2 linked regions of the Notamacropus eugenii genome follow. The protein of the gene in region 1 interacts with the protein of each later gene in a biochemical or structural test. Links are inferred from orthologs where the notes say so. Each region holds a gene or a part of one and is shown on either strand. Other genes may lie near its edges.

Region 1 (3,940 bases):
TTCCAACCCCGCCCCGCCCATCTCGGCCAATAAGCAAGGGCTGGTGGCCGGTCCGACTCCGCCCCCGGCGTGCCCGAGTTGCCCAATTAGGGCCGCCCGGAGGGTTTAACTGCTTCGCGTCCGGGTCTCTGGCCAAAGTCAACCGCCCCCTCCCCCACGGCCCCGCCCCCGTGCTCGCGCCCCCAACCTCCGTGGGCCCCGCCCGCCAGCCTGCCAAGCCGCTCTAGTCGTCGCCGGTTACCATGGCAACGGCGCCAGCGCAGGGAAATAGGAGGTGGAACTAGGAGGTGGAAGGGGGAGGCAAGTGGGTTGGGGGCGGGGGCGGGAGAGACAGACAAGACAGACAGACAGACAGACAGACAGACTAGGAGATAGAAACAAGAGATGGAAACCGGCGTCAGGGTAAATAGACTATGGGAGAGAACCAGAGGTAAAGGCCTCCACAGGGCGAGGAGCCAGTGTACTCAGCACAAGCCGAAGAGTGCTGGGACACAGCGTCCCCTGCCGGCCTCCCCTGTTCTACCCCGGAGCCCGTGGACTGGCCGGGACTACGACTCCCGACAGGGCCCAGGGCGACAGTTCTAGTGTACTTAGGGGCCTTCTACCCCAGGGACTCATGGGAGTTGGAGTCCCACCTTCACCAGCGCTGAAAAGTTTTCGAGGCAAAGAAATCTCCTGTTTTCCCCTGAGCCACCTATGTGTCCAATCTCCCTTCCTCCTCTCTGTAGGGACCCTATGGCACCAACGTTCTTGGCTGTTGGCTCAGTTCTAGATCAGAATAAAGGGAGGCTGTTTCCCTGGACTTAGTGAACATCTTACAAGCCCAGGTTTCCTCCTCTTTCTTCTCTCATGCCTATTTTCCCATGCTCTCAGAAAGGGTTTGTACCCAACACCTCAATATAGATCTTTCCTTTTGCCTGTATCTATAGGAAACATCACCAAGGGAGGCATAGGGGGAGGGAAAGAGGGGAAGGGGAGGGGGAGAGAAGGAAGCATGTCCTCAAGTGTCCCTTGTTTGCTCAGGCCTTTCCCTCCTGTGTCCCCAAAGTGCTGGCCCTGGGAAAGGGCAGAGGGGGGAAAGGGGGAAGACTGAGAGACACAGAAGGGAGAATATGGCAGGAGAAACATGAGAACAAGATGAGGGGAGGTGGGGGGGACATCAAGGACATAAAACATGGCCCTGAGACACAAAGACAAACAGAAAAAAAAAGTGGCAGAAACAGGAAAACAATGAATCCAGGATAAGATCCCCAGAGAAAGGCCCCCAAAAAATATGTGGGGGGAAAGGTAAAGGTGTGAGGTGGGATAGCAGATGCTAAGACTAAGAGGCATCCAGGCTTGGTTTCCATGAAGTCCTTCCCATATCCTGTATCTTCCTGAGGCCCAACTCTATGCCAGCATGTGCACATGAACATCCATGTGCATATGGTGGGATATGTGAGTAGCCTTCCCCCTAGATGCTGTAGCTCCCACTAAATATAACCCCTTCCCCATCCTATGACTCACCCAGACCCTGCTTCCCCCAGCCAACACTTCCTGTCCCTCCTATTCCCCACCCTCCCAGCCAGCTACCTGCCTAACCCTCTACAGAGGCATCTAACCCCCAAATCTCAGATTCTCCCATGAGGAAGCCAGGTGTCCTTCCCCCACCACCACCACCCAGGCCATTCTGCCTTTCACAGACTGGCCCCTCCACATTCAGCTTTCTCTCTGACTCCCCCAGTTTCCCCCACCGCCCCCAGTCCCCTTCTATTCTACTACTCCCCCTCATTCTGCCTACCTTCAGTTTGCCTCCATCCCAAGCCCCATTCAACTCCTTAAGGCCTAGATCCTTTCCTTGGTCTGGGGGGGGGGGGGGTCACCCTCCAAATCCAGGGTGTCCTTCACATCCCTCCCCCTTAAGAGCCTGGTTGAGCAGGTCTGGAGTTTGTCTTTCCATCTGCTTTTCTCTCCCCTCTCTCTCCTGCTGGGGACAGGAGTGAGAGCTAGAGCAAAGTGAATGGGCAAAGGCAAAGGAGGAGTGAGAACACCTGCTTGAGGGTCTCCCAAATTCATCACCCGCATGATGCCCCAAATCAGCCAATTCCTGTAAGCCCATCTCAGATTCTTAGATTTCTCCTTGTCCTAGAGTTGGGGACCCAGTGAGATAGCACCCCAAATCTTAACCTCCTCTAGATTGGTTCTTTAAAATGGTTCCCAGTCTCAGGCCTTGACCCACTGAACCTTTACTACTCCCAGTCACCCTCATACTGAGTGATCCCCCAAAATAAGTATGGCCTCAAATTGTGGTAATATTCTTCCAATGAGCTTTAAGCAATTCCCCCAAACCCAAGAGTATCTCTCGAGGCCTCTCATTCTCCCCCAAAATTGACCTAGAGTCCCTAAAATCAAGCCTGCCTTCTCCCACCCTGAAGACCCCTCCACCCCTAAAACATGAACTTCTCTTCCAGTATGAGCCAGGCTTCCCCCAAGATAAGCATCCCCCATGTCCCCCGCAAATTCCAAACTGCCAGGCTCCCCCCAAGCCACAGAACCCCCCCCACATTTGTGCTCCATATAGACACTTGGGGAATCACTCCAGGGTGCCCCATGGCTGCCTCCAGTCTTCCCTGCATTATCTATATGCCTGTGTTTCCCCAATCCGGGGAGACAAATCCTAAGCACCCTACTTCTACTGATCTTTCCCTAATGGACCCTAGGCTCCAGATAAGGCCTACCTGGTACCTCTCTACAAACTCTGTTCCCCTTAGATATCAGCCTTTTGACACCCCTTTCTCCACACCCCCCCAATATCCTGCTTACCTTGGTTGTCACGATACAGAGACAGTCCATGTTTGGGGGGCTGGACGCTGTGGCGTGTGGGGGGCTCTGACTTCATTAGGATCTCATTCCCCCTTCAGCCAACTCTCCCCCCTCCCCCCTCCGTACCCCACTTTTTTTGGGGGGGCGGGTGGGGGGAGGGGTGAGGAGGGGAGGAAGGGAGAGGGAGAAGAGAAAGAGAGGGGAAGCGTGGGAGGGAGGGGAAGAGGGGCCCCAAAAGGTGGTCCCCCGAATAGAAGGCAGAGAGCTTGGGGGGTACCCACCCCAATCTCAGGAAGGGTGGGGGCGCAAGGGGCTTGAAGCCCCAGGGGCCGGAGGCTGAGACATGAGCTGGGGTGGGAGGGGGAGGGGAAGAAGGGGTGGGAGAAGCTGGGATGGGGGGGGTCTTGAGAGAGAGGCTAGGGAGGGTCTCTCTTGGCAGCTGGGAAAGGGGGAATGGGAAGGGGGGGTTGGAGGCGGCAGCCACGGCCAAGGGAGCAAGGAGCTGAGAAGGGAAGGCGAGAGAGGAGAGAGGAAGAGGGGGGAGGAAGGGAGGGAGGGAGCAAGGGATGGGGGGGGAAGCAAGGGAGGTTAACTCCTTCAGTGCTTGGGGGAGCCCGGATACACGGGGATGAGGATGGAGATGAAGGAGGAGATGAAGGCAGAGTCACAGACACACACATACGGATGAGGACAAAGAGAGAAACATACACAGGTCACAGCCAGAAAAACAGGCACAGTCAGAGTCACGGAGACGCAAGAAGAAAGGCATAGAGATGTTGAGAGAAAAGGATGAAGGCAGAGGAAAGAAAAATAAAGTAACTGACTGGATTTCTTGGCAGGGGCAATGGTATGGTGGGGAGCACCTGTGAGTGGGAGGGGACCCTGAAATATTCTTGAGGCAAAAGGGGGGAGGAGGAGAGGGAGATAAAGAGGGATTAGGAGCAGGATTCTGAGTCCCTGGCTGCCTGCACTGGGGGAACTGATGGCCTTGGCTTCCCTTTGGGGTGGTTTTGAGGAGGCAGGGAGGAAATGTGGCTATAACCAGGACTCTGTAGGGCCAGAAATGTGACAAGCAGAAAGACTAAGGGAGGAATGTAAGAGGAAAATATTGTAGGATGGAACCCAGATATTCAGCCAA
Region 2 (3,600 bases), about 270 Mb from region 1:
TGATTTTCCCCTTTGCATAAGTCTCCAAGTCACTTCTACACTCAAACTTCAGCCCATCTCTTCTGACTGTTTACACTTCCAGGGTCAGATATAAACTCTGGCACTTAAAGCTCTTTTGCAGCCTGGTCCCAATCTGGACTCATTACATATTACTATCCTCCAGGAATTTCACTCTCCAGCCAGATTGCCCCTCCTCTTGTTCCTTACTCGCAGTTTTCTACCTTCCATCTCTAGTGCCTTTGGAGGGGACTATCTCCTCCATGCCTGGGGTTTACTCCCTCTTACTTTCTGACTCCTTTTCAAACCCCAACTCAAGTGTCACACTGAAGTTTCCCTCCCCCCCCCCCCCAGCTTCTAGTGTCTCCTCCATCTATATATCTGGTATAAAATAATACCAAGTACACATATGTACATATATGTATATATGCATGTTGTCTCTCCCTCTCTCTGCCCCCTCAATACCATAAGCCCCAGGAGGCCAGGAACTGTATGACTACTGTCCTTGTATATCAAGTGCAGTGTCTAGCCCATAGTAGATGCTAAATAAATATCTGTAGGATTCTTTTTTTAATTGATTGCCAGAGACCACAAAGATAGGACAACCAGACTGGAGCCCAGGTTTTTCTTTCTGATCCAAATCCAACACTTTTCTCACTGTCTTGGTTAAAAGAAAGCTGTATTACAAGGGCTTTCGGAGTGGGGTGGGGAGTGAGGCTTATTTCAGTCAAACTCATTATTATTTTTTAAACATTCTGTTATAGACAACTTGAATTAAACTGCTAGTTTTCAAAGGAGATGATTTGATTCACACACCTCTGTGTATACAGAGAAACAAAAGACAAGACAAAGGTTCAACAACTATTTGAAAAGTAAAAAAAAAAATCAAATGGGTGATTTAGCATTGTGGGATCACTCAATCATTTTTTAAAAATTCAGCACTTTCAAGATTCACACATACACATAAATAAAAAGCACTCCTCCCTCCCAAAAAACAATCTAGAAATCAGTTAAAGTAATTTATCTGTGTGTGCATTGGAGAATAAGCCTCACAAAAAATAGATGCCAGAATTCACTCGTTTACAGGGTGTGAGACTCCATCCTGGACCCTAAAAATATGCTTTCCTCCCTGATTGAAGATTGGTACCTGGTTTGGGATGAGGGAGTGATCTGTCTGCCACTGAACTACTTTAGACAAAAATTGGTGGATTTATTGGTGACTTTCCTAAACTCTAGGAGCTGGTATATCCTCGCTAGACGTTAGACTCAAGACCGAGCGGTTTCTGGCTCCTAGTTCCAGCGGAAAAAAAAAAAAGCTCCCACTCTCGGACCCGGCTCAAGCACGGCCAGTCAGGAGGCTAGCAGGAGAAGAGGACCGAACATCAGACACCTCAATTAGGCGGGGGAACATTGTTCTATGAATCCAAGCGCTCGGAGGAGCGGGAGAGATTTATCTCCATAGACATGCAGATTTCTGCAAAGGGAAAAGGAGCCATTGGGCGGCCTAAAAGGGGGGAAGGAGGAGGTAGAATCTAAGGAAGGTGTTTAAGGAAAAAAACAGGCGAGAACCTTACCTCCAAAGCGTTGAACTATCGAAGCCCAACCCAGACAGAATGGTCAGCGGGGGCGAGGGCAGGTAGAGGAGGGGGAAATGGGGACTCAACCCCTGATTTGGTAATCACCCCGGCACTCTGAAGCTTGAGGAAGGGAATCTTTGGCACTGCGGATTCCGGGAAGCGTTCTCCCAGCCCCAACCTGAGTCCTCCCCACCCATTTCCCCGGAAAACCGTCCGTTCTGAAGAGTTTGACTTCCCCCAGGGACATTAAAGCCGTCTTTGGTAGTCCTGGGTCGTTCCCAAACCAGCCCGGGCCCCTGGCCCCGGGCTGGAGAGGGTCAATCCTGCGCCCCCGCTCCTCTGCGCACACAGCTCCCGGTCTCCCCCGCTACCACTGGGGTGTTGGGGGGGATGGGAGGGATTGGTGCAAGTGGAAGGGTCTCTTTGCCCGCCCATATTCTTACCTGGATGACCAAGAGGTGAGGGCGGCGTCCCATCCTGGGGGTTCTCTGGGGGCCCTGGATACCTGGCTTACTGGCACATTCCCCAGAAGGGCACGGCCAAGCTCGGGCTAGGGCGCTTGCTTGCTAGAGAGCTGCGGGGGAAAGCCCGAGGTAGCGTGGCGGGTAGGGGAGGGAGGCAGCCCCAGCCTCTGAGAGTGGGAGCCCAGAGGGATTGGGGGGAGAGCAGGGTAAGGAGAGGCAGGGGATCGCGGCGCTGGCAGGGGATCGCAGGGGAGGAGAGAGAGCGGAGCGCCAGGTGCTCCTTTAGAAGGAGGCACTGCCCGCCCGGCTCTCGGGCTCCGTCCCCGGCGGGCAGCCCGCAGCTCGGTCACATCTGCTGCCAACAACCGGCTCCTTCTCCCATCCGCCCCCAGCTCCGCTCCCGGTTCCCTCCGGCAGCGCCACCTCTCTTCTTCCTAAGCCGGGTCCCCACGGCCACTTCCCGCCCAGTTCTTAAGGGAGGGCACTCGTCTAGCCTGCGCCTGGCAGTCAGGAACCCCGCATCGCCCCCGCCACCTCTCTCCTCCTCCTCCTTTTCCTCCTCCTCCTCCCTGTCCTTTCTTGCCTTTTTCTCTCTCCTCCCCACCTCCTCCTCTCCTCTCCCTTTTCCTCCTCTCTCCTTCCCCCTTCCCTCCCTCCTCCTCCCTCTGCCCCTTTCCTCCTCCTTCCCTCTTTCTCCACTCGCGCTCCCTGCCTGTCCCTTCCCTTCTAGCGCTTCCCCCTCACCCCTCCACCCTGCCTGGCTAATCGCTGACCCCTTTTCCCTGCCCCCCTCTCAGTTTGCAGCAGTGAGTTGAGCGCGGCTCCTGCGCCGCCAGCTTCAGGGACAGCAGTCCGAGAAGAGCCTAGAGATTGGGACTGGGGCGAGAGGGTGGGGAGGGGAGGGGAGAGAAGACTAAGAACCCCTCTTCCACTCGCTTCTTGGAAAGGCTGCTGAAGAAAGAGACTTACGGGACGTGGGGAGGGGGGAGATCAGGAGAGACATACTTCTGGGACACAGAGTGAGTCTGATTGGAAGGACGAAGGCGGGAGGGGTGAGGTGGTCTGTGGAAGGTGCCCCTCCACCACCGCTTCCTGGGCACCCTGCTGGAGAGTGAGGGAAGGCTAGCAGTAGTTTTGGAAGCTCAGGATTGCATCTGGGTGTTTCCCGACCCATCCCCCCACAACCCCTCCTCCGCTTCAGCCCTTTCATCTCTCCTTTCTTTGCCATTCCCTAAGGGGGTCTACAACTCTAGGCCTGAGTGGTAGGGTATGGGCACTCCCTGCTCTTTCTAGCATCTACTCTTCACTCCTCCATAGCCGTTCTATGTTTCAGAGACAGTTCCCTCATTTACAGGATAACACCCCACACACACCCTCCACCCAGACCCCAGCAGGAGGTTGTGCCGTTTTCCCTTGGCCAGTGGGGAGAGAAAGATAACGGCAACATTGGAATCCAGGCTCCTTAGCCCTTGTTACCCATCCTTGCTGCCCAGCACCAGGATGACCGTCTGTCACCCCAGCCCCCAGATCTCTAGATACAGCTTTGGTATACAAGACAGAAC

Evidence for each region. The genes of interacting proteins can lie anywhere in the genome.
Region 2: the proteins of DLG4 (region 1) and CRHR1 form a complex in vitro, tested with the Homo sapiens proteins (2 studies listed by BioGRID and IntAct, with this or other methods). The link is inferred for Notamacropus eugenii from reciprocal best matches to the Homo sapiens genes DLG4 and CRHR1.

The regions. Positions count from the first base shown.
Region 1 is NC_092873.1:78,853,090-78,857,029, reverse strand, and holds the start of DLG4 (disks large homolog 4), read right to left. Parts: upstream 2,956-3,940; 5' UTR 2,833-2,955; coding exon 2,803-2,832; intron 1-2,802. UniProt on the Homo sapiens protein: Postsynaptic scaffolding protein that plays a critical role in synaptogenesis and synaptic plasticity by providing a platform for the postsynaptic clustering of crucial synaptic proteins.
Region 2 is NC_092873.1:347,228,917-347,232,516, forward strand, and holds the start of CRHR1 (corticotropin-releasing factor receptor 1), read right to left. Parts: upstream 2,579-3,600; 5' UTR 2,051-2,578; coding exon 2,018-2,050; intron 1-2,017.